Lepisosteus oculatus: one gene and its partners. The protein of the gene in region 1 purifies or fractionates together with the protein of each later gene. This does not show direct contact. Links are inferred from orthologs where the notes say so. Each region holds a gene or a part of one and is shown in the gene's direction. Other genes may lie near its edges. The genes, in order: cpsf6, ncbp3, srpk2 and rbbp6.

Evidence for each region.
Region 2: the proteins of cpsf6 (region 1) and ncbp3 purify together in Homo sapiens (co-immunoprecipitation; 3 studies listed by BioGRID and IntAct, with this or other methods). This does not show direct contact. The link is inferred for Lepisosteus oculatus from reciprocal best matches to the Homo sapiens genes CPSF6 and NCBP3.
Region 3: the proteins of cpsf6 (region 1) and srpk2 purify together in Homo sapiens (affinity purification with mass spectrometry; 3 studies listed by BioGRID and IntAct, with this or other methods). This does not show direct contact. The link is inferred for Lepisosteus oculatus from reciprocal best matches to the Homo sapiens genes CPSF6 and SRPK2.
Region 4: the proteins of cpsf6 (region 1) and rbbp6 purify together in Homo sapiens (affinity purification with mass spectrometry; 3 studies listed by BioGRID and IntAct, with this or other methods). This does not show direct contact. The link is inferred for Lepisosteus oculatus from reciprocal best matches to the Homo sapiens genes CPSF6 and RBBP6.

Annotation. Positions count from the first base shown.
Region 1 is NC_090702.1:23,479,106-23,486,908, reverse strand, and holds the start of cpsf6 (cleavage and polyadenylation specificity factor subunit 6), read left to right. Parts: upstream 1-4,786; 5' UTR 4,787-4,836; coding exon 4,837-4,896; intron 4,897-7,803. UniProt on the Homo sapiens protein: Component of the cleavage factor Im (CFIm) complex that functions as an activator of the pre-mRNA 3'-end cleavage and polyadenylation processing required for the maturation of pre-mRNA into functional mRNAs.
Region 2 is NC_090721.1:10,765,913-10,773,221, reverse strand, and holds the start of ncbp3 (nuclear cap-binding protein subunit 3), read left to right. Parts: upstream 1-4,306; 5' UTR 4,307-4,353; coding exon 4,354-4,536; intron 4,537-5,118; coding exon 5,119-5,184; intron 5,185-5,948; coding exon 5,949-6,054; intron 6,055-7,309. UniProt on the Homo sapiens protein: Associates with NCBP1/CBP80 to form an alternative cap-binding complex (CBC) which plays a key role in mRNA export. NCBP3 serves as adapter protein linking the capped RNAs (m7GpppG-capped RNA) to NCBP1/CBP80.
Region 3 is NC_090702.1:48,123,973-48,131,047, forward strand, and holds the start of srpk2 (SRSF protein kinase 2), read left to right. Parts: upstream 1-4,055; 5' UTR 4,056-4,313; coding exon 4,314-4,329; intron 4,330-4,576; coding exon 4,577-4,643; intron 4,644-7,075. UniProt on the Homo sapiens protein: Serine/arginine-rich protein-specific kinase which specifically phosphorylates its substrates at serine residues located in regions rich in arginine/serine dipeptides, known as RS domains and is involved in the phosphorylation of SR splicing factors and the regulation of splicing.
Region 4 is NC_090714.1:11,894,611-11,902,302, forward strand, and holds the start of rbbp6 (E3 ubiquitin-protein ligase RBBP6), read left to right. Parts: upstream 1-4,681; 5' UTR 4,682-5,659; coding exon 5,660-5,825; intron 5,826-6,698; coding exon 6,699-6,798; intron 6,799-7,304; coding exon 7,305-7,341; intron 7,342-7,692. UniProt on the Homo sapiens protein: E3 ubiquitin-protein ligase which promotes ubiquitination of YBX1, leading to its degradation by the proteasome.

The DNA of each region.
Region 1 (7,803 bases):
ATAGATCCTATTGTTCTTCGAAGTAGGCTGCTTGAGGTTGTGATGTCGGTTATTGTTAGCTCATCTCTGAGACTCTTTTTGAAACTGTTTGTTGTTGTTCTGCTTTTTTGTTTGGGAGGGTATATTCATTGGACAACCTGCTATGTGAATTAACAGGCCTGTTTGTACCACAAGGACAAGTATATCTCTTAGCAAAGCACTCAAGTACAGTAGACGCTGATATTTAGTAAAGCATTATCGAAATATTACTCTACTTGTTATGGGAAAGTAGACATGCCTGTCCCGTCTCAGGTCTGGTGTTTGGTTTTGGAGTGCTGTCATTTCCATCAGTGATGTAGCTGGCTTTGTTTAATGCCTTGTTATTTTCATATGTTATCCAGCAGATGTTTGGGGTATCAACCTCCTCTCCAGCTATAGATGAAAATGTGCCCATGCTGCATTAAACATTGAGTCCTGGTTTCTGGAAAAAAATGTATTTGGAGGAACATGGCATAGAATTTCCTAAAGCAAAGATGACTAGCTAAATAGCAATAAGGAACAACAACAACAAAAAAGAAGAGTGCATTAGTAAAATTCATTAATTGTACCAGAACACATGCACACATTATTCTACATGGTGCTTAGAAACTAGGTGAAAGTGTACTGAAAACAGAAGACAAGAAACAGCTGGAAGGAGATCCTCGGATGGGCTAGACTCAAACAGTGTTCCAACTTTGCACTCAATTCTACAGTTCTGTCCTCTTAACATGAGGTTATTTTCTGAACACTGTTTTTAGGGTGTGATACAAATGGAATCACGCGACGAAAGGGCTTGTTTCTACTATTTCCTTGATGTTTGTCTTTTCCGTAAATTGAAGTCTTGCTGTTTTCATACCCGTTCTAAAAATGACCGTTGTAATGCTGCGTGGTGACAGGCGGAACACCACTAGAGGGCGCAGTGGACACGATTTAGAAAAGTTCATTTTGGAGAAGAAAAATTGAGTTTTGTTCTGCTTTTAAACAATTAAATGAGAAACGTCCTGGACGTTTGACGTTACGTCTGTGTGGAGTATATGTGCAAAGATCTGCAGCCACGGTACCAGAGGCGACGGTCTTCCAAAATCACATAGACTGCTTTGCTAGAATTATTCATCACCAGTTAATTTAATGTTTCAGTCTGCGACAGCCTGTAAAAAAACTTCTTTATGACGGTGGCTGCAGTGATAGTGGCAGACACTACGTCACCTTATTTCAAGGGAGAAACATTTATTGTCCGTGGGACGTTATTGCATTTGGTCAAGTGCTTTAACTTGTTTGAAAAAAAGCTTCTTTTTGCGAACCATGTCTGTTTACAAAGGAAAAAAAGGGAACTGAAAAAGACAGGTGCTATCTTTAACGGGGATATTAATACAATTATTTTTTAAACCATTAAGCCATTAAACCCTTAAGAAAGCGCAGTCCTGGGTTCGTTTCCATTCTGGAGATGTGTTAGTGTACCTGTTTTTCACTGAGTTTGTACTGTATTGTATTGTACTGTGTGTCTCATGGAGAGCAAGTTGGGGTGTGCGAAAAGACAAATTCCTAATACAATAAATTTATATGGCCAATAAAGTGATCTTATTTTGAGTGACTTTGTTACATAATCACTAAATCCCCTCTTCAGTGAAAGAGTTTATTGGACACAGGTGATGAGCTGATTGTGTGCCTCAGATGAACTCAGCAGCTGTGGAGTCAAGACCTCTTCAGACATGAATCTACGTGGAGCACAATGTCTGATGGATGCCTGTGAGTGTGGCACAGTAGTTGATGGCAACCTGACTGCAAGGCGCTATATTGATCAAGTCCTGGGTCCTCACGTGCTGCCTTTCCTGCTAGCTCATCCCAAAGTGACAGCACTTCCAGCAGAACATATTCCCACGCTCCTCGTGATAATGGCTTTCCTGACCATAATGTGACCGTTGTGCTCCAGAGCCCTTCTGCCAACTTGAGCCCCACTGGCAGTTTGCAGGATGATGACAGAGATGACATTGGGCGTCTAGGGCAGAGAGACCAAAGTACACGCTTGTTCAGGCTCTAGGACAGGAATGGGACAGGATTCCACAAGACAACATCTGCAGCCTGTTGCAGTGTATGTGCCACACATCAGAAGTGGTTACATACTCTACTAGACTACAACATGCACAATAGGACCCTCCTGGTGTTCAGTCCTGCTGATGCCCAGTATTAACCAGCAGAATGAATTTGCCTGTCTTGTCTCTTCAATAAAATGTTAGTACAGCTGCTACAAGAAACATTATCAGTTAACTGACACTTTCTGAATTTGTTGCGACTCTTTGGATGCTGTGTATACACTTATATATATATATATTTTTAAAATTATTTAATGTCTGGGGTTTGTCATTTGCTTGGTAATTGTGAATTTGTTCCCGTTACATGTCATGTATTTCTTGATATAATTCCAGTTTCACTCCCTCACTGTGGTTTAAATGTTTCCCGTAATAGGATGACTCATGTTCCTGGCAGTTTTCTTAAAATTTCTTAATTCAAAACTGCTAGTGGGTTTGATACATCACCCATCTGAATCTCATCCTAACCAGAATTAGATTTTTGCTTGGTGTGAGACAGAATTGAATTCAATCTAGATATCTGGACTACCTCGTCTGCTTCTCTATTGTAAAAAAAAAACCACATGCCGTCCAATTCAACACTTTCTTCTATATCTAGTTAATTTGCTTTATTCTTTATACTGTTGAGCCAATGCTCTACATGATGTTAGTGCAAAATGCATCAAACCTTAATGATCCCAATCCCAGATGTACCGTATGACGTCAAAGAGATTTTCACAATGGATAGTCAAATTAACAGATATTTCAAGTGATACATTGTAGGTCTATATAGAATACAGTTACAGTCGTATTCAATAGAATACATAGTATTGGCACTAACCTTATCTAACAGTGTCCAGTGCTAATCGTTAATGTGTATCAAATTAAATTTCTTAAAGTATGCTTTTTTGATTATAATATATTTTATAAAGATACTTAATAACCAGTCATCCCAGAAAATACAGTTTTAAATTGAATTTACTAGCCCAAGTTAAAATATAGGGTGTACATGAGCATCTATAGAATCATCTATAGAATTAAAAGAAAGACGTTTTCACACCCTCTATTTTAGATTAGTTTTAGATTGATTTAACAAGAAACCTTGGCAGGATGAAGAAGTACAGTATTTAATTAACGTGAAAGAAATGTTATTGTCAATAACTATTGACATTATTCTTATACATATTATGTATAACACTTTATTACAGTGTATTACAGTGCATTTGTATTGTTGTAACCCATTCTTGTGACTGTGGATTCTGTTACAATCTAATATAGATACAGATACCCCCTTCTGCACAAATCTTTGGCTTTGCAGCAACATAGACGGTATATGACAGACAAAGCACCATTGCAGAAATTATTCAGATAATCCCACACTTGTCAAAATCTGCATTTTGCAAATAATGGGGCACTTATTTCAGGGAACTGCTCTGAGATTCCTAGCAGGACTACACCTCTTTTGTTTTGTGCTACATTTACCGATATTTTCCCAGGTGCAAATTAACTCGACTCCTGGATTTCTTGATCATAATTTTTAGGGTTTAGGGTCTTCTGTAACTAGACTCTCTGAAACTATACCATGGGCAATTAGGTCACGATAAATTCTTTAGGTGAAATGTACAAAAGCCGTCTTCAAAATACAAAGAGTTTCGCTCTGTCATGTTTGAAATAGTAAGCCCTGACCCCAAGCTTCTCTCCATGTCTGTGTGTCTCATGGAAAGCAAGCTGGGGTATGCGAAAAGATGAATTCGTAATGCAAGAAATTGTATATGGCTAATAAAGTGATCTTATAAAAAACAGCCCTGAAAGGGGTCCGTTTATGAACATACGAACAAATGTGAAAATGTTGGCCGTAGATGTCCATGATCACCGTGCACCACCTTGTGGAAAAATTACTTAAACTCGTTACTTCTTTGATGTATTTTTAGAATCGATCCTACAATCGCTGGACACAAGATTGTACGATAGTCTTCACTACACACCGCTGTGCAAATTATAGATTATTATAAATTTGCCTGTAAAGTCTTGACACCAATATTCCATAACAATTCGATCAATATTTTAATCCATGCGCTCATGTATTATGAAACATTAAAATAACCGAACCTTTTTTTAAGAATCGTCATCTATTGTACCCCAGAAAGGAACTGTACCACACGATAGTGCTTATACGACTGTGTGGAATGTTACTGTTAGGTCTACTGGAGAATTCGTGAGCCCATTACATACAGTATACAATAATATCTGTCCCTGTGCATTGTGGTATTATTGCTTTAGTAAAACTGATTTAAAAATGGTTCTTATTTTGTATATTTGATTATGTGGGTCGTGTGCTCTTATCACATCATTTTATTATCATGTTATTCATATTTTATCGTTCACGTGTACATTTTTGCATGTACATGTTGGATTAACGGCGCCACCTAAATTAATAATTATAACTGTGCATTTTAGATAATTTTCCAGAATTTCACACTATGACCTTGATTTGCCTAAAGAGAATATTTAGCGAGCCGGTATCGACATCTCCTAAATTGCATAATTGAGAATAGTTTGTGAAGTTCTGTTATCGTAACCAAGTTAAAAAGCAGCAACTTGTTACGCTTAGTCAAAAAAAAAAGAGCCGAAGTCTTTACACCCTCCTCCTCTCTTCTGTGTTTGGCCGACCGTCGGATGTGACGCGCAGTGTTTTCCTGTTAGCAGTTTTATTCTGGTTCAAGCCAGTCGGAGGAGGAGGTAAGAGTGGAAAATGGCCGACGGTGTGGATCACATCGACATCTACGCGGATGTTGGCGAGGAGTTTAATCAGGTGAGCATGCATTATTGTTATCCTCTCGGTGCGTAATGCAGAATTGCAATTTCGTTTGGAAGACCGTAAAAAGGACAGCCGTGTTTGGGTTTGTTTAATGCACCTTTATAGAAAGGATTTCTATTTTTGTTCAGAGAAAGACCTCGAGGGAGTGTTTTTTTTTTAGATTAAAGGGTTATATAAGCGAAGGGCCCAGCACCCTGGATTTTCGGTGCCCTTAACGAGCCGGGGGAGGTGAGCCCAGTCTTTCGGCGCTGCGCCCCGCCGGAGTTTCCCGGAGGAGCAGAGAGAACGAGCGGCGGCGGCGGCGGGCGGCGCGGCGCGTGGGAGCGCTTCCATTGTTTGTGTCGCGGGCTGAGGCCTTGCTCGTGAGCCGCGCGGGGACGTGCACGTCCTCGGGGAGCAAATGTCCGGGCTTAGAAATACCCCCCCCTTCCCGCCTCGCCGGAGTCTGATCACCGTTCATTTAAAGCATTAAGTATTCACAGGGCTAGAATTAAAACGGTGCGTGTAGCTGACCTTTTGTTTTTGTTTGCATGCTTTGAAGCTGTAAGCGATCCCAGTGTAATATGACCCCTCAGACGTAACGTGATGTTGACGAAATTTAAAATATAGCACTCTTGCGACGTAAACACCACGTGCACCGTTTTTATTAATTGCGATAATTTTTGGCGCCGCTGACATTTTCGTGCTTCCTTTTGTTTAGTTCTGAGGGTGATGTTTTCAGCGTGTAATACTTTCATGGACACATTAAGATGTGCTCAAAATTATTTTGGCGTTTCTTCGGTTGTTCGCACGTTTCGGAATGCATGATACTCAATTTGCATGTTCAACATTTATTAAGTATTTTTGTGCAACGTATAAAGTAGACCCAAATCTTATTTTTGCTGAGACACATTTTCGTCTTAACTTTCATTAAGCGTTTGCAGCGATCGCACTGAGAATCTTGTTGCATAGATTTGTTCTGTGAGCTGTAAATTAAATTGGGGGTCTTTCTTAAATACTTGGAACGGAGTTGGGGGGGGGGGGCGTTTTCTGTCTGCTAAGAGCTCGTTTGAAGCGTCTCATTACAGCCTTTAACTTGAAATCGTGACTTTCCTTACTGGGTTGGCGTGCTTTTCAAAATGCTATTGTTCTCGGTACCAGAAAATCAAGGTAGTTTTTGTACGGGTTTCAATTGCAGACCTGCTGTCGTTGAAGTCATCTTAAAACTTCTCACAGTTAGTGGTTTAGGTTATGTAGGCATCAGCCCAGGCCGTTTCTGAAAAGAATTTTCATGCACACTGTCCAGGAGTGATCGGTCTCAAAGGACTGTGTACTGTGGGGATTTCTGATTGCGTCCCGCGCCCTCAGATTTAACATCTAAGGTTTGTGTTTGTTCGTTGTGAGATCCCAATTGCGCCGGGAGCTGAATCCCCGAAGTTACTGTACGAAGAGTTCCGAGAGTGTATAATTTCAGCCGGGCGCATCTGGGTGAATAATTGTGCTGGGAAAAGACATTTTTAAAATGTGCGGTACGTCGTGATGGTTTGCGCGCCTGCGGCTTCTAAAGCGTGAAAGCGATTGAAGTGCGTTCCCACCTCGGTGGCGGTGATTTAGGTCTCGGAGTGCAGAGCTCATTCTTAGCAGTGTGTTGCGTTTTGGTACTGCAGTACTTCCGTGTGTTATCGAGTTGTGCTGCCTCCAATTTTATTGGGGTGTGGCGGATGGAGAGTATTCGTTCTTTTGGGGGGTGGGGGGGACTGAATAATACACTGATACACTTACGCAGTGTCCAGTACTCATCAGATTATCACAAGTCAAAACTTTGTTCAGGGTGCTTTATAGTTAAGCATTTATTGCATTCCGCCGCGATTGGAATTAGATCGGGCAGCGGGGTTAGTTTCCCTCTGTCCGTCCATCTTCAGAAAGGTGGTGAGAGCTGTGGCAGACTGGACTCTTGGAAGCGAAGGTCACAAGGTGGAGACCGAGCTCTGGGGGGTTTGCAGGTCTATAGTAGGGTGCACACGTATGGGCGACTTCGTCGCCGAGCTCCGGGGGGGGGAGATGCAACCTCCACATTGTAAACACCCCCCCACCCCTACCCCAGACTCGATCCCAAGGCTGATCAGAGACTAAATTGTCCTTTCACTTGTTTATTCTTTCCTTCCTTGGGGGTGGTACTCCTTCCTTAGTCTTTGTGCAGACTTTGGCCTCACCTGCACTGAGGTTTGTAAACACTGCCCTCTCAGCCCTGGGAAGCTGGAGAGCTTCTGTATATTCACAGCTCAGCCCTCCTGGTTATGGCAGATATTCGGCGAACAGGGAAGCACAATGTTACAACGGGCTGGACCTGGGGGTCATGAGTGAGGCGGGTGTTTTTAAGCAGGGCTTTTTGACAGGGTTAATGTCGTTGCCACACTATAGAAACTCATGCCTTCTAAACATCTTACTTTTGCAGCTAACAATATTCTGGGGGACTAGGACTCGACGCTGCTGGTCCTTAGTAAAATCCGATGAAGGCTCAGCATTTGCGTTGGCATATTCACACTCGAGATGACAGGTGGCCTGGCGCGGTAATCCTAAGGCTGGACATCCGGCCTGATTTTCAGCAAACTGCTTTTTTGGAAGGGGTGTATCGCATGAAGACAGAAATACTGTAGGTCAGAATAACGTGCTGGGAAAGGACATACCATGTCCACAGGGGACATTACTATCCTTCCGGTGGTCTTTATTAGTACTGCATTTCATATAAGACAGTGACTGCTTCAAACTGGACGTGCGTACTTTGGTAGGCCTCAGTTCACTCTGGTTTACTGTCAGTATTTCAGAAATCTGAAAAGTCACTTGTGAAGAGGCCTGTTCAAACATTTGGTGTCGAACGTGGGTTCTTTTAGACATGCCCTGCCCAGTGCTGAATAAGTGATG
Region 2 (7,309 bases), on another chromosome or scaffold:
AGATATTTATAGCCAGGAAATGCAACTCACGAGACAGGGGAGCTTGGAGTCGGTGGAGGCAACTAAGCCCTGAGATGAGAAGATCTTTGCCTGGACACAACAGAGGAGCTGGAGAGCACAGCTAAGAAGATATCCCAGAGACCTGACAGAAACATGTCAATACTGTCTGACGTCTCTCCCAGAGGACCCTCCAGTTAAACAAAGCCTGTAAGTGTTGTGCAGAGACTGTCCGGCGGTCCCAGAGGGCCACAGAGGTTGTCTCTTGGGGACCCCTGGACACTCTCAGAGGCCCTAGAGGACCCCTGGACAGTCTTTGAGGGCCCTAGGAGACCCCTGGACAATCTCTGTGGCACTAGGGGACCCCTGGACTTGTGTGAATCGCGGGGTGTGGAGTCGCTGTTCCTTCCCTGGCAACAGAGCCCTTGTCAAACCCATCCTCCCGAATTTCTGTTCTCTGACCCGCCTCAAAATTGCCTCCTGGGACAGTTCTGCGCTGTTTGAAAGTTTTGTTTTATTTTCCTTTGCAAAAAAAAGCCCCCAGCTGTAGGGGCTGATGTTGAACTCGGGACTCCTGCGTTGCTGGTTATGGAGCTTGCAGCTGAGCAGCGCTCACTGCTGTACCTGGGTCAGAACAGAGCCTGCAGGCAAGCACAGCACAATTACAGGCAAGCCAGGCAGTGCATAAAAATAACAGCTGCCAAATGCTAACCTATGACACTACAGATACACAAAACATAGCTTCATATTTAAAACACAGGATATGTAAGAAAATGTCTTTTGAAAATTGTGAAAAAAGTGCAATACAGGTTTGACTGTCTACAACTTAATAGTTCAATTCCCCAACGGGTCCTTTTCTTTTTTTTTTTGCTCAGCTTTGAACAACATTTCTAACAATTTGTTTCCATAAGTAAATTTTCTTACAGTTATATTAACATTCATGAGGATGTACATTATGAGAAACATAATAAATGTCACCTGATCTGTCTTGAATTGGACCTCAAATCAAGGCCCAAGGAGACCCTCCCAGTTCAGATACTGTAAACAGTAGTAACACATAAAACCTTTAAACGCTACTCGCTCTCTTTAAGGTCAATTCACAAGAAAAAAGTTCAAAAGTTTAAAAAGTTAAAAAGTTCATTTTCACACAATTGCTCTTGCAAGTACTCTGAACCGACGCCGTTGCTCCTCTGAGAGCAGTTTTGAGACGCCTACAGGAAACTCACGGACGTGATTTCTACCGTATGGATAAGCGAATGACGATCCATCAGCTTGTTAACGTGAGATTGAGTTGCTGTAACTGGTTTGCCACAGATGCCACAGCTCAGTCCCCAGAGATCCTACTGCCCTGTCCTGACATGGGGACTTAAGGCTCATGGGGCCTGAGCTGGATCCCCTTTTCAGACATTTGAAGTGCCTTCCATTTGGATCACTTGACCCTTCACCAGTAACCAAGATAATAGGGCTACAGAAATAAAGAGTCTGGACCACAGGCGAAGCATCTCGAGGTGTCTGCTAGTTCTACAAGGACATCCGGAGAGGGAGCTGGGCGTTATCAGCACTCACCATCACGGCAGCACCAGAGCAGGGCTGGGTGTCCTCAGAGGTCAGGGTTTGTCAGCCATGACATGTGCCTGTGTCACTCAGACTTTGCGGAAGGGGGTGCTGGACTCTCTCCAGCTGCCATTAAATCAGGAAGAGCCTTATAGGGCACTGGGGCCAGGGGACACAGTATCTCCCCCAGTGCTGCCCACGCACACACGGCCGGGGAGCTGTGTGATATGCTTCTTCTGGGGAGGCTGGAGCTGATCATGTTACACATGTGACCACAGGTGACACAGAGGCCCGGGGGAGTGCTGTGCCACTGGGGTATCAGACACCAGTATCCATGATCCACACCCAGCAGCTCCCAGAGACCCGATCCCAGCTGGCGGGTGCACAAGGGGTGAGCCTGGAGGGCAGGCGGGTTTCTGGGAAATTCACGAGCTCGGGAAGGGGGGGTGGGGCCGCTGGCTGTGGGCAGGGGGAGGCCAGCCGGAGACGGGGGTCACTCAGCTGCCCCTCCGGCAGCACGCTGTAAACTGACGCGCTGGGTCACAGGAGGCACAGGTTTCTTCTGACGGAGTGGAAAATCGGGCGGAGCACCCTTTAGAAGTCCAGCGCTTTCACTGCCTGTCAGCAGCGCTAAATGATGATCACAACCTGAGCCTCCTCCCCACCGCCCATAGCAGCCATAGTGCGCCAGTCCTCTCCCCACACACCAGCTCTCAGTGGGGAGGAGAGCAGAGTGATGAAGCCAGTTCAGAGATGGGGATTATTAGGAGGCCATGATTGGTAAGGGCCAGGGGGAATTTTGGCCAGGACACCAGGGTTACACCTCTAGTCTTTTTTGAGAGACACCCTGGGATTTTAAATGACCACAGAGAGTCAGGACCTCAGTTTTACATCTCCTCCGAAGAACGGCGCCTGTTTACAGTACAGTGTCCCCGTCACTATACTGGGGCATTAGGACCCACATGGACCGCAGGGTGAGTGCCCCCTGCTGGCCCCACTAACACCTCTTCCAGCAGCAACCTCAGTTTTTCCCAGGAGGTCTCCCGTCCAGGTACTGGCCAGGCTCACACCTGCTGAGCTCCAGTGGGTTTGCCAGTTGGGAGTGGCAGGGTGATACGGCTGCTGTCTGTGTATTGCAGACTGAGCCTCTGTGAACAGCTGAATTGCCTGAGCAGGAGGTGGCCTGTTTCCCAATTCCATCCCCACTCTCCCCTGAGGTCCAGAGGGAGGGATTCTCCACCATCTGGAGTGAAGCGCAAACCGGGTAGTGAAAACCTGGAGCAGGCTGTCCAGTCCTGGTGCTGAAATGCCTCCAGAATGAAAAATGAGGAACATGATCAGGGCCCTGCTGTCTGTATCATGTTGCTGAAAGGTTCTCCACAAACGCCAAAATCAGGCCCCTTCACACGGCGACAGCACGACTGTCCCGCGGGTTACTCTCACGGGACACAATGAAAACCTACAGGGAGACGCCGAATTCGAGGAACGTGAGAAAACACACGTGGGCGAGCGGCGCCACCTTGTGGACGCGCTCGGGAGCGCAGAGGCTTTTCTGAAACGAAACGCCGGCTGTGACTGTGACGCTCAGGGCGGACCGGTACCGTCGCGGTCCGCCTTGACCTACAGTCCGGACAAAAAGGGGAGACCTTCCTCGCGTTCACGCGTGGCGTGGGCTGCGGAAGGCTTTTACCCCAGGAAGGGATGTTGCCGGCTCCCTTCCAGCCGGAGCTGGAGTTCACGCTCTGCTCGCCTCGACATCCCTGTCCGAGCCCCATCCACGCACACTCGCGAACCAGGGCCCGAGTCACGCGGGGGACCACCACACAGCACCGCTGCCGTCGCGCGAGCACACTGCTCTGTGGCCCGAGACACGCGCCCCTTCACCCCTCGACTTGACACCTCGTGCTGGCGCGACGCCGGACACTGGACACCGGACACTGGACACTGGACACCGGACACTGGACACTGCGCCAGGCCGCTTCTAGTCTGCCCGTTTGTGGGAGTTTGGTTTTCCTTCGGATTCTGAATGTGGGGAATTTGGGAAACAAAGAGAAAGCTAACTAGAGTTAAAATTATAAAAGCCCAGCGGAAAGAGATAGGCAGAAAATTAAGTTACGCCGCCTGGACTCCTTCTGGCGTTCAAGCACACAACAGAAAGAAAAGCAATATAATCCAGGCTGGGCAAACGATTTTTTAAATTTTTAGAAAATAAATAAAAAATTAGATATAATGATGCGTTCCTTAACATTGCACTACTTTAAAACCTATAAAAACAGGTTTCGATAGTTAATAACCACTTTTTATGCGCGAAAAACGGGTGATTTTGCTTCCTCGTGATCAGCCAGAATCTTTGTGTACGCCGTACGGTTTTTACTTCTTAATTAAACGCTTAAAATACACGAATTTCATAAAGACAACACATCACAGAAATGAAGATGGCGAGTTACAGTTAGAACAGACGGCCGGCGCTTTGTGAGTCACTGTTCAGATTGCTGTTGGCTCAGTTACTTAAAGGCGTAATCATTCATTCTAGGATTGGAATTCATATATGTGCCCTGTCACTGTTGTTAAATCTTGTATTAAGAGTATTCTTTCTGTTCGTACCACTAAACTACACTCCTTCAGTTTCCCGGTTCGCAGTTTGTAAATGGGTCGAGGGCTCCGCCGTGCTGCCGCCAGTCCCCGGCGCCGCCGCTGGGTGGCAGTGTCGCTGCGGCGACGCGCTGTGCCGAAGGTGCCGCTCTCTCCCCCTTCCCGCTGTCGTTGGTGCGGCCGCTCTGTTTGGGCTGAGGCGAAGGGAAGATGGCGGCCGTCCGAAGCTTGCAGGTCTCGGTGAAGTCAGAAGCTGGGTCCGATCGCTCAGAGTCAGATTCTGAATCCGACTCGGACCGGGATTCCCGCGAACCGGAGCCAATGGAGGTAGAAGAAGGTGAACTGGAACTGGAGTCCATTCCGGTCCGCCGGTCACTGAAGGAGCTGTTACCGGTAAGTAAGGCCGCGCCACGACCTCGGTCCCCAGTAGAGAGCAAGGCCGGGCTGGCGTGGCTGACCAGGGGGGTTACAACGTTCCAAGAATCGGTGGTAACAACTGCTTAATGACAATGTTGTCCTGCTGGTTTTGCTTTTTTTCTGTGAAAGGAGCAGTTAAAATTGTGGTATTGGTGTCTCGAATGTTTTGTAAATAGGAGTGTTAATGAGATCAGGTCCTTTTAACTGGGCTCAGGGATTATCGTGTAGTTTCAGTTTTGTCAGAGTACTTGAAGCTTTAGGAGCAGATCGAGTCTGAAGCACAGCCTTTCCAGAAATGGCCACGGGATGGAATCTTTTTCCCAAATGTGTTTATAATCGGTGTCTCAGAGCGATGAGGTGCTGGTACCTTACCTTTATGACTAGGGGTTGCGTCGGAGTGGGTTGGGTCTATTTCAAAATATTGAACTTTACATTGCTTATTCCCCTTTATCGTACTGTCGAAAAGCTCCATCCCGCCTTTCCTGTTTTGTAAACTGCCTTTTGGAGGGTCGGGTTGGGTTTTGTCGTGTTGAACTCAGGGCTGACGTTTCTCAACAGGACACCAGCCGGCGCTACGAGAACAAAGCTGGGACCTTTATCACGGGAATCGATGTCACCTCAAAGGTACGGGCATCCTTGCTCTTTCCGTGCCCTGCGTCTGTTTCCTGCTCCCTGGTCTGGCGGCGCTGTGGTCAGTATTACTGCCTCGCAGCGCTGGGGCCCTGGGATCCGTCCCCGACCCGGGGTGCGGTCTATGTGGAGTTTGTATGAGTTACCTCGGATAGAGTGTGTGTGTGTGATTGCCCTGCGATGGACTGGAGTCCTGTCCAGGGCGTATCCTGCCTTAAGCCTTGCTGGGATAGACTCCAGCTCCCCTGAACTGGTTGAAGCAGTTAGAAGACATCGCTGGTCCCTGGTCTTACGTCTCAGAGCTCCAAGTATTAATGAAACAGTCAACATCCTGGTTAACCCCAGTGTCCTGGCCAAATTTCCCCCTGGGCTTTACCCATCATGGCCTCCTAATAATCCCCCTCTCTGAACTGGTTTCATCACTCTGCTCTCCTCCCCATTGAGAGCTGGTGTGTGGGGAGAGGACTGGTGCATCATCCAGGTGGGGCTGCACACTGGTGGAGGTGGAGGGGATCCCCATTACCTGTAAAGCTCTTTGAGTGGAGTGTCCAGAAAAGCGCTATATAAGTGTAAGCAATTATTATTATTATTAATTAATCAGTCCTGTAGCCCCGAGTCTGAATGGGCTCCCTCCCTGTCCAGAGCGCTTGGTCCGCTCGTGGTTCAGAGTCCTTGAGCCCAGACGTGTCCCGCCCCTCCCCTCCTGGCTGCGGCTGTGGCGCAGGGATTGCGTAACATGGTGTTCCAATCTCTCGCAGGAGGCCGTAGAGAAGAAGGAACAGCGGGCCCGGCGGTTCCACTTCCGCGCCGAGGTCAACCTGGCCCAGAGGAACGTGGTGCTGGACCGGGACAGGATGAGGAAGGGTGAGTCCTTCAGCTGGGCTCTGTGTGCTGGCTGCAGCGCGCTAGTGTGTTACTGCTCACAGTTTAGATCAGATCAGATCACTTCATTGGTCATATACAATTGCTTGTATCAGGAATTTGTCTTCACATACCCCAGCTTGCTCTCCATAAGACACACAGACAGGGAGAGAAGCTTGGGGTCAGAGCGCAGGGTCAGCCATTTATACAGCGCCCCTGGAGCAGCAAGGGTTAAGGACCTTGCGCAGGGGCCCATCCGAGTAGGATTCCTCTGCCGGTCGCGAGATTTGAACCGGCAACCTTCCAGCCACAGGCGCAGATCCTGAGCCACAGAGCCACTGCACCGCTTCACCGGCTTAGCTGCTGCCTTAGAAATACAGTCCTCCCCATTCGTGTAAATAAAGCCCACCGTTCCTTCTTTCTTTTAAAAGGGTAACAGTGTGAAAGTATGTAGATGAAGAAAGCAGGGTTAACCAATAGGGTACAGTTTGTGTAGAAGCCCACTACGAGGAGCAGAAGTTCTAGTAACTGAAACGACAGCACCCTTAGGAAAGAACTGACTGATGCATTCAGTGCCGGATTGTGGTGTCCGTAGGCCCTGGGCACTTTCACTCTGAAATGTGCAAAAAGAGGGTTGAACGCCAGTTGACACGATGCACTTTAAACTGTTCTAGTGCTAAACCACCTGATTGATGAAGCAAGCCGAGCGCCCATCACTTCCATACTTCTAGTTTCTAGAGCAGTTGCTAGAGAGCGCATGATTATTGATTTGGAGCATCTGGAGTCGATCGCAAGCACGTTGTTTCAGCTCGGTTTTTGTTAGTCACTAGTGTTTCCCTCCTTCCTAGGCCCTGGGCACTGTGCCTACAGAGCCTGATGGGAAATCCGGCACTGGATGCGTTTCACAAAGGCAGAGATTGTAGTCTCTGCTCAGACAAAAGAATGATGGGAAGACAGTTTGATACACGCAGGAGGGGAACGGCATAAACGGGGAGCCCACAACCTAAAAGAGCTGCCACCAAAAGTTTTTTTTAAATCCACCCTTGGGATATTCCTGCATGTGGAGCCTTAAGGATGCGGTAGCCTGGATTGAGCTAAGGGACCAGTGCTGCGTGAAACCTTAAGCGTCGCAGAAAGAATTTTAACAATTCATGAGAGACGCAGACAAGAAGGCACTGCAGAGAGTGGCCAGCAGTAAAAAGCCTAGTGAGTTGAGGGTCTTCAGCCTTCAGGCAGAGAATTACAACCGTCTGCTGAG
Region 3 (7,075 bases), about 25 Mb from region 1:
AAAGACCCATTTACACAGCAGATGTGAGCAAAGTACCTCATTCATGGGCAAGACAGGAGCACCCCACTTGGGATCTGAACCCGCAACCCCTCTGCCATTCCCTGGCATTTCGGTTCTTGCCCAGCCGCAGGTCTGGTCCGGCTGCTTCCTCTCTGAGCTGGGTGTCAGGGGAGAGTCTTCAGTCAGCCGACTACCAAGAAACTCCAAAAACAAAAACCAAGCACACTGGGCGCAGGGGCTGGGATCGCACGATGAGTGTGTCTGATCCAGCCGGACCGAGCTGATGCAATCGTGCGTATGACGTCCATGCTCATGCGCTCTGGCTGGGGGTTAGGCGGCGTGTGAAGTCTGGTGGTATTTGTCTCACGAAGCTCCCGAACATAAGAACGGTTACAAACGAGAGGTAGGTAATTGATCCGAGGATCTCATCCAGCTGTTTCCTGAAAGAAGCCAGGGTATCAGCTTCAAAAACATGGGTGGATATCCTGCTCCATACTCCCACAACCTTTTGTGTAAAGAAAGTTATAACTCTCAGTTCTCTGTGTTCAATGCACTTCCATCTGTATTTCCACTTGTTGTCACGCCCGACATCCCTCCCTAGAGGGCGCTCCACTCGTTATTGTTCCTGTAATTGTTGCTAACTCCCCAGGTGTATCTTGTTATGTGTATTACTTAAAGACCAGCTCCTCCAGTCCTCGGGGCTCAACATTAGGGTACGGATGTCACGAGGGCCCCCTGGCACCAGGATACCCTACATCCGTCTCCTGAGGGCACAGGCCTCATCCCCGACACCTCCCGCTTCCTGAGCCCGGGGTCTGGAGGATCCCGCCCCGTCACCCTTGGACCTCTGTGTCTTGTCTCTCCGTGTGTTCCCCCCTTCCAGGGATTTTAACCTTGTCGTGTCCCAGGATGGATTACTCGCCGCTGGACTCCCGGACTGTGCCCTGACCTGCCTTTGGACCTGTTTTGATTTGGATGCCGTTCTTTGTCTCCCCCGTTCACTGTCTCACGGACTGTCACTATTATTGTGCACTATTAAACCCCTGTGTGTTCCCTTTTACCACGCCTGCTGTTTTCTCCAGCTCTTACCGCATCGCATAGGGTCTACCACAAGACCCGGCACGGACTTCTGTCAAAGCCTTTAGAGGAAATTTAAATACTTCTAATTTCCCCGGACAGAGGCCATTTACGTGGTGGACAGAATGACCCTATGAGAGGACAGCACTGTGCAGAACTGCAACCAGATAACACTCCCAGGTCACAGTTTCATCCGACAATAACTAGGAGGCCTGGCACAGAGGGAATACTGGCTGGGCTGGGACAGAAAACTCATGCCACGTGGCTCAGCCAAACTACACAATCTGAGCTCATTTTCAGGAATTATTCTGAGCTACACAGCTTCATCTTATCAATGAGGGAAGGACCGAGTGAGTGCACGCCTTGTCTGAACTGTTATTACTAGCTCTGCTGAATTGCCTGATATGAAGTCATTTTTTTCCATGACAACATTATGATTATTTTTAATAGCCGAATTGCCGTGGGCAGCAATAATACAATAGAATGCAGTAAGACTGGAAAGCGGGCTATTGTAATAACCCTGCACTATGCTACAATAATATTTTTATTAATTCACTTGAGTAATGTGCTTATCCAAAGCAACTGATGTCTGGACCAATTTATACTGTAATATGCAGCATTTTTACCTACTGTTTTGCAGTTAGGTCTTCTTGCTTGGTCACTTTTTAAAATCACATGGTCAGAATGATCATTTCTTAACTAGTGGATACTCAAATCTACGTGCAGCCTAAACATGACACTGAAGCAGCTGTCTCTGTGCTCTCTAATTGCAGCTCTGACATAAAATACTGGATGACCCAAAGTTTTCTTCATTTAAACTGCAACAAGACTGAAGTGATTCTTATCAGCACCTCAACTACTGTATCCAGGGCCAATTCAGTAACCCTACATGTGGACGGCATTGTGCTTGAATCTCAGTAAAAAAAAAAAAGAATTTGGGGTTGTTGACCTTTGACATACATGCGCAAAATATTGTAAATATATCATTCTTCCATCTTAGAAATATTGCCAGAACACATTTTATTTTTTGTCTCTAAATTAACAGCAAAGCTGGTTAACACATTCATTTTTTGCAGAAATGATAACTGCAGCTCCCTACTCACTGAGGTGTCTAGATCCACACCAAACATACTTTGGTATGTCCAGAATTCAGCACCTGGAAGTTTGACCTGGTTGCGTGCAAGTGATCACATTACTCCTGTCCTGGAGGCCTTGCACTGGCTTCCTGGCAGGTTTCGTGTCGACTTCAAAATCCTCCTGCTCACCTAGAGGGCTCTGCATGACTTGGCACCTCAGTACCTGTCCGATTTATTATCTTCCTACTCCCCACCTCGAAATCTTCGTTCATCTGATTCTGGTCTCCCCTTTCTTCCCCAAGCGCGTTTACACTCCACAGTTGACAAGTCCTTCTGCTACGCCCCACAGCTTTGGAAATCTATCCCCAAGGATAGCAATGCTGAAGTCCAGACTCAAAACCTTCTTGTATTGAAAGGCTTGTATTGAATTGGTGTCTGTGTTTGCTAATGGCGTCTTCTACTGCATTTCTAATCCCTTGTGTTGCTTTGTGCTAATTTTGTTATCTCCTTTGTTGCTGTTTTCATTTGTGTTATCTGTTTTTTTACTGTTCCCCTAAAGTGCTTTGAAAAGATACGGTTAAAGGCACAATATAATAATAAGGATGATGATGATGATGATGATGATGATTATTCAGATGGGCATTACATTAAAGTAGCCTGAGGGATACAAAACAAAAAGAAACAAAACACCCCTTCTTCTCCTTTTAATAATAATAATAATAATAATAATAATAATAATAATAATAATAATAATAATAATAATAATAATAATAATAATAAATACAACTACATGTGTGCTGAGTTCTTCATCCCAAAGCAGAGACCCACTTCTTTCACCCCTGAAGTGCTGCCTCACCTGGGTGATGTGCAGCTCCCATTTTGTCCCAGCAGCCCCAGGTACACACAGGGCGGCAGGTAGAAACAGGTTCACCAACTGAAGGAAAGAGGCACTTGAAGGAGACAGGATCGTGCAGCCACAGAACCGAATTTGTCCACAGCTCTTACAATTGCCCTATAATGAGAGCTTAGTCAGGACCACAAGTTTAAAGGTTTAAAAGGTAGAACAAAATGATAAATATAAATCCTGAAACAATACAGATGCCCGATTTCAGAGACTCCCACACACTTTTAAAGGCCTTTATGTGGAGAGTGTATGCCTTTTGGCACTCTGTGTTAGCTTTCCGCGGAAGAAAAGTGAATGGGAAAGAAAGGAAACAATTGTATCTCCTTTTGATGGATTAGAACTGTTAATCTTCTTGGATGTCTTTTGTTTGGGAGCTCGAATCTCTTTAAAACCACAAGAACTAGTATTCCCTCAGTGCGTGGCTTCCTAGTTATTGTCGGATAAAAGACAGACGTTGAATCCTCACTGTATTGTGTTGTTACTCTGACCTTTATTAAGCTTAGTTCAGGTCGTGCAGTGTATACAATGATTCAGCACAACTACACCTCAAAATCTGTCCTCACCGCTGTACTCTCACGAACTATAGAAATTAAAAATCCAATACACCGCCCTCAACACAACGATGCAGTAAATTAGAGTAATACCGCGCAATATTTTAATCACAAACAGCACATTACACTTTATTCATTTATTTTCAATTGTTCCTGGACTTCCAGAGCTACATTAATTGAAATACAATCTCGGAGCACGGGACCTTTTGTAAATATTGGAGATCACATGGCAACACAAAACGGGAATACTGCTCTATTTTTTTTTTTCATATATTCACTTTGCGGTTAAATCCAAGACTGTGGTGTGAACCGCTGTTTTCGGACCGCGGAGACTAACCGTTCGGCGCGCGGGTCGCCGTTACCACGAGTAACTGACCTGCCTGCGTCATCGTTTTTGTTTTGCGGGCCACAACGATCACCTCACCCGTCACCTCGCGCCGGGGACGCGCGCCCAAAACAACCAACCGCTGCTCTCTCTCCCGCTGCACCTGCCTCGGCTCAGGTAAGCCTGCGCGCGCCCGCGACGCTGGGTCTTGACAGCGGAGCGCGCCCCCGAGTCCCCCCTGTCTGGCTGGGAGGAGGGTGCGCGCCTCCCGACGACGGCCGGGGGAGCGCGCATCCCCGAGAGAGGCGGTGAAGGGAAGAGAGAGACGGACGGAGAGAGAGATCCCGGCCGCCTTCGCCGAGGTGGAGAAGGATACCAACATGAGCTCTCGGAAGGGTAACCGGCTGTCTTTCTTACGCAAAGCCTCGGGCGTCCTGGGCCGGGCTGGGGGGGCAGGTTCGGGGGGCTCGGGTGTGTTTGTGCGCTCCACACGGCGGTGGTGGCGGCGGTGCGGAGGGCGGGCGATGCTTTTGAAACCGGCAAACTGATGTGTCGCTCTTGTCTGTCCGTCTCTCTCTCTCTCTCTCTCCCTCCCCTGCTTCTGCCTGGCTCCCGGGTCGCCCTCCCGCGATCCCCACCGCAGTGCTGGCCATCCAGGCCCGCAAGCGGCGGCCGAAGGGGAAGAAGGACAAGGCAGCCCATCAGCGGAGGTAGGCAGCGGTCCGGGGCTGCAGGGCGGCGGCGGAGGCGCCCCCTCTGACAGCGCTGACAGCGGGAGAGGGGGAGCTGACACTGGCACACTCGGCGCACAGACGCGATGGCGGAGCGGGGGGGGTGTCGTGGTGCCCTGGGTGCCGAGGGAGGGAGCGGGGTAGCGGCTCCGACTCCTCTTCCCGGGGCTGCCCGGCCGTGGTGTCGGAAGTTGCTATTGGCAACGATCCGCAGCCCCAAAGGGGGGGGGGGGAGGACGGTGGCTCTGGAGCCGGCGGGACAGGCTGTGCCGCGTCTACCGCTGGTGCCAGCCCGCCCAGACCACCTCCTCGCCCGGGCGCTGGGCTGCTGGAGCCGGACCGGGCTGTGATGTGAGGTGATGTGCAGTTCGAGCCCCCGAGCCGAGTTGCTGCCCTGCTGGTGGTTCGGAGAGGGGGGTGGGGTGTACAGGGCTCCGCTGCTGCAAGACGAGAATTGACTGACGTTGACATCTATCGTTGGTGCGAGAGGTGCGAGAGGTGCGAGAGAGAGTTTCACCCAAAACCGGCTGGGTGGGGGCGGAAAAAAAAACACTGAATACGCAAGCGACGGTAACGTAGCAGCTCTAGCGGTGTGCCGGTCCCGTGTTTCTGAATGCTTCCGCGTTCAAGAGCGCCTGGCCGCCGTGCCGAAGCGATGTGATGCTGGAGGCGAGAGGCGCTCTGCTCGCGCGCGCACAGCTCGAGGCTCCGCCACGCGCGGGACCGGGGCAGGGGAGCCCGGGTGACGTCATGGTCATGAGCTGGCGTCCCACCCCCACCCGGGGCTGACACGGCGCTGGCTGGGGCAGAACGGGCTTGTGAACGGGATCCCTGGGCACAGCGTCTGTCTGTGCAGAGGCTCCCAAATCCTGCTCGCTGGAACCTCGCTGTTCGGGCCTCTGCGCGACCCGGGGGCTGTCAGTTCGACTCCTGAAGTGAACTCCGACCTGAACTCTTCATCTGCCTGTTTGTTGGTTGTCTGCTTGCCTCCAGCTTTCCTGATTTCGCGCGGGATAACCCGAAAAACGTGTAGAAGCCATGAGAATTTCTTTGAATCCCGTCGAAGTGGATTCAGCGGGGTGGGAGGAAGAATTCGACAGGAACCCTAACCCCGCGGGCCCTGCAGAAATTCCCCCCTCGGGGAGCAGCGAGGGAGCAGGGCTGCTCTGTTGTCCCCTTTACTCCCCTTAAAGAACAGAAACAAAATTCCTCTCCTGTTATGAACTGTCATGAAAAACCGAGGTCCTGACTCTCTGTGGTCATTAAAAATCCCAGGGCGTTTCTCAAAAAGAGTAGGGGTGTAACCCCGGTGTCCTGGCCAATTTTCCCCCTGGCCCTAACCAGTCGTGGCCTCCTAATAATCCCCATCTGTGAACTGGCTTCACCACTCTGCTCTCCTCCCCACTGAGAGCTGGTGTGTGGGGAGCGTTCTGGCGCACTATGGCTGCCGTCACATCATCCAGGTGGGGCTGCACACTGGTGGAGGTGGAGGGGATCCCCATTACCTGTAAAGCGCTTTGAGTGGAGTGTCCAGAAGAGCGCTATATAAGTGTGAGGAATTATTCTTCTTATTATTCTCAGTCGGTACCCCCCCACACACACATGCTCACACTCTACACCCCTTCTGAAACCAACTCTTGCAAAGACGCGCTTTGTAGCTCCGGTCCAGTTGTCTTTCCTGCACGGGCCGGCGCGCCCACACCCCGCGCCAGCCAGCTCCTTCCCTCCTGCGCGCCACCCCCTGGGATGGGAGCGGGGCTCGGGGTGAGTGAGCCGCCTGTGACACTGCAGAGTGTGTGTGTGTGTGTGTGGGGGGCAGGTGTAGGTGACCAGGAGGCCAGGGCCTGGACGGGGGGGGAGAGGCCGTCTGCTGCTGTCATCGATGTCCTGGTGGTCCGAGCGCGCTTGCCTTTCTTTAAACTGCCCCTCGGTGAGTCTCCAAGAGTGGATACCTGCCAGGTGGCTTTTAAAACTTTCAACCGGAAAAAATGGGCAAAAAATAAAGCTTCAGGAGGACCCCAAAAAAAGGAACTGCTTGATTCTGAAGTGTCTGTGTAGCACGGGCACATAGCCGTGTCCCAGCTCACAGGAGTTGGCATTCGTTTAGCTTGTGCACGTAATAAGTGTTAATTAACCGCAAAGACGAGTTCACTCAGGTTTTCTCGCAAACCTATCTATGGGCAATTATTTTCTTGGAAGTGTGTTGTGGATGTGGGATGGCATCCCTTTCGGAATATAAAGTTCTGTCTATTCAGAACTTGTTTCCCAAGCGGCACGCCAGGGTGAATTAAATTATGCGGATTCACGATTCCCTGTTTTCTTGCGCAGAAGCTCGAACTAGTGTTCTACTCCCATGTGTTTTCCCCTTTGATCATATCGTTTCCTCTGCTCTTGCTCTTGTGTCTCTTTTA
Region 4 (7,692 bases), on another chromosome or scaffold:
CGCTGCCCGTGATGTCACTGGATCCGCCTCATGACATCATCATACCTTCCTTTAGATCTGATTTACTAGAAAGAGTTACAAATGACTAACTGGGACCACAGGCTCTGCCTCGATTTTCCTGTACGGTGAGCGGCCAGCTTATTCCACTCAATAACCACGTTTTATTTTATTTTTGAAAAAGCCTCTTAAATGCTTCATGCCGGGGCGGCCTGTCCAGCTGGGCCTGCAGCTCCACCTGGTGGCAGAGAGGGCACACAACACCTGGACACCACCTGCCGCTGACTCGCACAGAACTCGCTCGACCGGACGAGGCTCTTTCAAAAACCGCAACTGCGCCGGCCACGTTTTGGGCTCCAACTGTGCATTCAGATCGATCAGTGGAATACCAGACGAAGCCAAAGTAAAGAGCACAAGATTCGGGACCATTGAACAGTTTTTACTATTTAGGTCACCAATATTCACTCCCGGCCCCAGAGAGCCACAGTATCTCCTGGCTTTCATTCCACCCTGGACTCTTAATGACTGGACTTCATTTTCCCACATGATTCGTCTTCATTACCAGTGTTCCCAGGTTGTTTCTCGCTGACCTGTAGAAGCTGGTGAACTGCAGCCCTCCGGGACCAGGAGTGAAGATTTAGCTCTGACCTGCAGTTCCTGCTCCTCCCACAGCCTCAGCACCATGCTGCCCCGGTCCCTGGCCTCCACCAGAGCTTCATACACCTTCTCCCTGCAGATACGTAAGTATTTACAAAAATAGGAAAACTGCACATCACACTGTATCCCTCCCCTGCCCATACACACACATCCCCCTGGGCTGAGTACATTGCTACTAATCTTCTAAACAAAATGTACTTCGCTGTTTAATCTCAGTTGGGCTCAAAGTGCGCAGTGGAGACACACCTGGCTCAGCAATAAAGTTCAAGCAGGGAGAAGGGGGGTGGCGGGAGACTTCAGGAGTATTGACAGGGTGGACAGTTACCAGCTGGACGAGGGTGGACATGTTGAACTGTAGACAGACTCCTGATGGCTGAGGTGCCCGCAGGCCCTGGCACACAGCAGCAAGACAATAGGCAACTTAGCTCTCTCAAGCCTTCCACTTCCAAATCTGTAGCCTAATACCATCCACACTTGCAGAAATCAGCTTTCTGCAGCTCACACACCAAAACTTTTCTCTGCCTCCAACAACTAAAAGCAGCACAACCTCAGCCTGTTATGATCATTGCAAGTCAAGAAACCGGCCTTCCGTTATCAAAGCCGAGGAGCAACACTCACGTATCGATCCACAGCCAGGGTCTGGAGAATCACAGCTCTGCAGCTTTTACATGCGACGAGGAATGGCCAAGGAACAGACATCTGGAAAGTGTGTTAGTGCCTCCTGATTACGCCATTCAGTGCTCAGCTGGTCTATAGGACAGACTGAGGCCGTTCAGGGCTAGACATAGCTGGTCTATAGGACAGACTGAGGCCGTTCAGGGCTAGACACAGCTGGTCTATAGGACAGACTGAGGCCGTTCAGGGTTAGACACAGCTGGTCTATAGGACAGACTGAGGCGTTCAGGGCTAGACACAGCTGGTCTATAGGACAGACTGAGGCGTTCAGGGCTAGACACAGCTGGTCTATAGGACAGACTGAGCCCGTTCAGGGCTAGACACAGCTGGTCTATAGGACAGACTGAGGCGTTCAGGGCTAGACACAGCTGGTCTATAGGACAGACTGAGCCCGTTCAGGGCTAGACACAGCTGGTCTATAGGACAGACTGAGGCGTTCAGGGCTAGACACAGCAGGTCTATAGGACAGACTGAGGCCGTTCAGGGCTAGACACAGCAGGTCTATAGGACAGACTGAGCCCGTTCAGGGCTAGACACAGCTGGTCTATAGGACAGACTGAGCCCGTTCAGGGCTAGACACAGCTGGTCTATAGGACAGACTGTGGCCGTTCAGGGTTAGACACAGCTGGTCTATAGGACAGACTGAGGCATTCAGGGCTAGACACAGCTGGTCTATAGGACAGACTGAGGCGTTCAGGGCTAGACACAGCTGGTCTATAGGACAGACTGAGCCCGTTCAGGGCTAGACACAGCTGGTCTATAGGACAGACTGAGGCGTTCAGGGCTAGACACAGCTGGTCTATAGGACAGACTGAGCCCGTTCAGGGCTAGACACAGCTGGTCTATAGGACAGACTGAGCCCGTTCAGGGCTAGACACAGCAGGTCTATAGGACAGACTGAGGCCGTTCAGGGCTAGACACAGCAGGTCTATAGGACAGACTGAGGCCGTTCAGGGCTAGACACAGCTGGTCTATAGGACAGACTGAGGCCGTTCAGGGCTAGACACAGCTGGTCTATAGGACAGACTGAGGCGTTCAGGGCTAGATGAAGCTGGTCTATAGGACAGACTGAGGCCGTTCAGGGCTAGACACAGCTGGTCTATAGGACAGACTGTGGCTGTTCAGGGCTAGACACAGCTGGTCTATAGGACAGACTGAGCCCGTTCAGGGTTAGACGAAGCTGGTCTATAGGACAGACTGAGGCCGTTCAGGGCTAGACACAGCTGGTCTATAGGATAGACTGTGGCTGTTCAGGGCTAGACACAGCTGGTCTATAGGACAGACTGAGGCGTTCAGGGCTAGACACAGCTGGTCTATAGGACAGACTGAGCCCGTTCAGGGCTAGACACAGCTGGTCTATAGGACAGACTGAGGCGTTCAGGGCTAGACACAGCAGGTCTATAGGACAGACTGAGCCCGTTCAGGGCTAGACACAGCTGGTCTATAGGACAGACTGAGCCCGTTCAGGGCTAGACACAGCTGGTCTATAGGACAGACTGAGGCCGTTCAGGGCTAGACACAGCTGGTCTATAGGACAGACTGAGGCGTTCAGGGCTAGACACAGCTGGTCTATAGGACAGACTGAGGCGTTCAGGGCTAGACACAGCTGGTCTATAGGACAGACTGAGGCGTTCAGGGCTAGACACAGCTGGTCTATAGGACAGACTGAGCCCGTTCAGGGCTAGACACAGCTGGTCTATAGGACAGACTGAGCCCGTTCAGGGCTAGACACAGCTGGTCTATAGGACAGACTGAGGCCGTTCAGGGCTAGACACAGCTGGTCTATAGGACAGACTGAGGCCGTTCAGGGCTAGACACAGCTGGTCTATAGGACAGACTGAGGCGTTCAGGGCTAGATGAAGCTGGTCTATAGGACAGACTGAGGCCGTTCAGGGCTAGACACAGCTGGTCTATAGGACAGACTGTGGCTGTTCAGGGCTAGACACAGCTGGTCTATAGGACAGACTGAGCCCGTTCAGGGTTAGATGAAGCTGGTCTATAGGACAGACTGAGGCCGTTCAGGGCTAGACACAGCTGGTCTATAGGATAGACTGTGGCTGTTCAGGGCTAGACACAGCTGGTCTATAGGACAGACTGAGGCGTTCAGGGCTAGACACAGCTGGTCTATAGGACAGACTGAGCCCGTTCAGGGCTAGACACAGCTGGTCTATAGGACAGACTGAGGCGTTCAGGGCTAGACACAGCAGGTCTATAGGACAGACTGAGCCCGTTCAGGGCTAGACACAGCTGGTCTATAGGACAGACTGAGCCCGTTCAGGGCTAGACACAGCTGGTCTATAGGACAGACTGAGGCCGTTCAGGGCTAGACACAGCTGGTCTATAGAACAGACTGAGGCGTTCAGGGCTAGACACAGCTGGTCTATAGGACAGACTGAGGCGTTCAGGGCTAGACACAGCTGGTCTATAGGACAGACTGTGGCTGTTCAGGAGTGGGGCTAAACAGACCTGGTCTATAGAACAGACTGAGGCTGTCTAGGGCTAGACACAGCTGGTCTATAGGACTGACTGTGCCTGAAATCTCCATTCTGGGAGACGTCACTAACTTTGAGGAGCACCTGTTTGGTTTGAAGAGTGTGGGGGGGGCAGGGTTGGTTGACAGGTAAAATCGCAGCAACAGATGTTGACGAGCTTAACTGCAGCACATTGCAACTCAAGAAAACCGAGACCAGTATGAAGCTGTTTAATATATTGTCATACATTAAGAACCTGGTGTTAAACTCTGGACATTTAGTAATGGTAAAAGTAGTATTTCCACTAACATTACTGTATGTATGATTTCTTTGGCGTTGCACGGTAAAAAATAAACTATGCAGGTCATACAAGGAGACACTAGAATTTGAGACACTTTTTCATTTTTCACTGCTGAGGTTATTACACGACAAAATAATGCAAATATAAAATGCAAAATAATGCAGTGATCTTTTCTGATTAATCCTATTTTAGGTCTAGCTTATTGCTGTATTTCGAAATTTTTATTTTCGTACTTAAGTGGAAAAATCCGTTTACATTAGTCCTTTTTCCATTTTTAAACGAAATTGTCCTATTTAGAATAGTATTTTGTAAGAACGAAAAAGTAAGGACTGAGTATATATGCATTATGAGAGGGTTTTCTTTTATTCCATTATATCATCTTGTTAAATCCTGCAAAAAAAACAACTGTTTTGAGGGCTCTCTTATTAAACCTGTTTTTCTTTAAAAAGTTACGGTTGAATGCGGTTCAAACCTCACGTGACCCGCGGGCTACACACGCCGGCTACGCCAAACGACGTAGAGTCCGTTCTTGTGACGCAGCGCGTTGCTATTATGACGTCCCGCTGCGTGCCCCGTGCGCTTGCTTTTGGAAACCCCTGAGTGTCCGGAGGCGCCGCCATAGTGACACAGAAGGGAGCGGAGAGGGAGCGTTGTAGATTTTCGAAGAAGCGGTCAACAGTTGTTAACTTTCTTCTTGTGAACTACAGCCAGGGGATATAGACTGTTATTTCTTTTTTTTTTGGTGGGGGGGTTGTATGAGGGTAGATGTGTTTTTGTGAAATACCGTAGGGTTATGGAATTGTTTGTATTGCCATACGGAGCCGGCGCTGTTGATAGCCGTCTTTGTTTTGGTGGAGAGAAAGGGAGGCCATTTTAGGCCTCGCTCTCTCTTTTTTTTTTTCTTTTGTTTCATTTTCGACAGTGGACTGAACGGATCCTTCTTGGGAGTGAAGGAGGGGGACTGCGCACTTCCGTTTATCGTTCCTAAGCCTGGATCAATCCTATTTTCGCTTGCGCTGTCGTTTCGGACTTGTCGGATCAGCCCCGTGGCGAAGCCAGAGACTTGGCGAGCCCGCCCGCCATGCCGGCCTGTCTGCGCGGACTCTGAAGCAAACCGACGCCGCAAGGCCCGTTTAGAGACCGCGGCTGCGGGACCGTGCGCCGTTGACGGTTGGATGTTTTTTAAGCCAGCCTTTGCCGAAGAAAATTCATTTGGACGTTTTGTCTGAAGGAGATCTGGGACCCCGTGACGGGGGGTGGGGGGGTGTTCTGAATTATGGTGGACTTTCAACATCTACTCGTAACATTGCCGTATGACTACTAAAACTGATGGTCTTGTGCTTGTTGTGGTAGCGCCCGTTACGTTACAGTAACTCATGATTTCAATTAAACCCGTTCATTTAGCTGATCTGTGCTAGATTCTGTGGCTCCGCGGATGTGAAGCGTAATGCCATATCGTCTTCTAGCGAGCGGAAAGGGCACATTATCTGACACACCTGATTGTACGTTCTTATTTTGTTTCCCTGTACGAACCAGGGTAGTGTAATCTGCTATAACAATGTCTTGTGTCCATTATAAATTTTCTTCTAAACTTAACTATGACACGGTCACGTTTGATGGCCTGCACATTACGCTGTGTGACCTGAAGCGGCAGATCATGGGCCGAGAGAAGCTGAAGGCTGCGGATTGCGACTTGCAGATCACTAACGCGCAGACCAAGGAAGGTAAGACAGTCACTCGCTTCGAAACGCGCAGCGTGGTCGTCTTGGCTCTGTGCCGAGCGTGTGTTTGGATTTGTACTGTCGCCGGTAATCGGTTAAAAAAAAACGGTCATCGCCGTTTTGGCTTTGGGGGTTCGTGTTCGGAGCTGGCGTTTCAAGCGAGCCCGCACCCGAACTTGCGGGTCCCGTCCGAGTTCGGAAACGTCTCCGATACACGTGTGGCACATCTGGACCAGTTTGAGCCCGCTTCCTCTTAGATCCGCCAGGTATCATTACTTGATTTAAAAAAAAACAGCACCAGGAGGGGTAGCAGTGCTTTTTCCAAGTTGCATTTTTTGATCTGGTCGGAATGGCGATCGCACGATCGCTTGTGATATTTGGAGACGGGCTGGGGACGGGGAAAATGGCCGGCGGGTCGAAGAGGTGGATTGCAAACGTCCGGGCCTAGCGGTTGTTGTCCGTGGACATGCTCCGCCAGTGACCCCTTCAGGTCGCACTTGGCCGGGACTGAAGGCATCCATTTTGTTCCCTTGCCGACAGTTGTCAAGTGCGCGACAGCAAACGCGCTGTAGATCTTGCAGTTCTGCTGGGTGAGTTGTCTGGTGAAGTCTAGATGTGCACCCTGTGGGTGGTGCGTTGCTAAGAAAATGTTCTCGCAAGGTGGTTGTCGGCACCTTTATTCGGTTGTCTGATGGTCTCAGGGACAGGCCCAAAGCACAACCAGAGAGTGGTTTGATGCACTTGTTTGTAACCATCAGTAGTTTGCAGTCACTTTATTCAAGTATTTCCAGAGTTGACTTCAGGGACCACGTTCTTTTGAGTCTCACAGAGCAGTAGGCGCCGGTATTCAAACTATCCTGTTGTTTGGTTCCTCAGAGTACACTGACGATGGCGCCCTTATCCCCAAGAATTCCTCCGTCATTATCAGAAGGATTCCTATTGGTGGGGTCAAAACTGCAAGCAAAACATTTGTCATGTAAGTATGGATTTCCTTTGATATCAGTGGGAATGAGACATTCCATTTTGGGGGATTAAAGCCCTAACCCAGTTTTGATTCGACTGGGTAGACGTAATTTGGTGTGTTTTTGGTGATTCATGAATTGGCAGCAGTCTGGCAGGTAGTGGGATTAAATTTACCAGTACACGTGCAAAAAATGTGTTAAAGGGATGATCTCAGGCTGTGATTAGTGATCATCTTGAGTGCCAGTAGTCTTCATTTGTGGTTTGTGAAACATAAATTGATCTCTTTAGTTTATTGGGGAAATGTTTTACAGCGATGATGGTAAATTGTTCTATTACTGTCCTCTGTGGGCAGTTTACCAATTCTCTTTGGAGTCTCGTTGAAAGTAGCTTACAACAGCTTTTATTCGTAAGGCTTTCTGTAGTTTGCACTGTGATTTTTCATGAACTGGACTGATCTTATAAGGAGGCTGTGATAGAAACCGTCTGAAGATAATCTTTTTCTTTTCATTTGCTTTCCAGTGATCGTTCTGAACCTCCAAGTGGACCTTCAAAAGCAGTATGTAAAAAAACAAACTCACAATTTCATTTATTTGTTAAATATATTTTATTCTAGTCATTTAAGCACATAAGTGTGTATCTGAAATTCAGAAAAAAATGTTTAAACTTCCTCTGATGTGAAGTGATAAACATCTGGTAATAGTTTGTTGTAACACAATGTATTTTGTGGAATGGTTTACCTTTTTAATTTCAATATTTGCACATTTGTTTAACCTGTGTGTAAATTGGTTTTTGTGCAGGTTAATGCACTGTATTTGATATTCAAAAGCGGGTGGAGTATTGCCTACAAACTGTTGTACAGATCGATGTATGATCGCTTAAGATCATGTTGGCAATGAAGCAAACATGA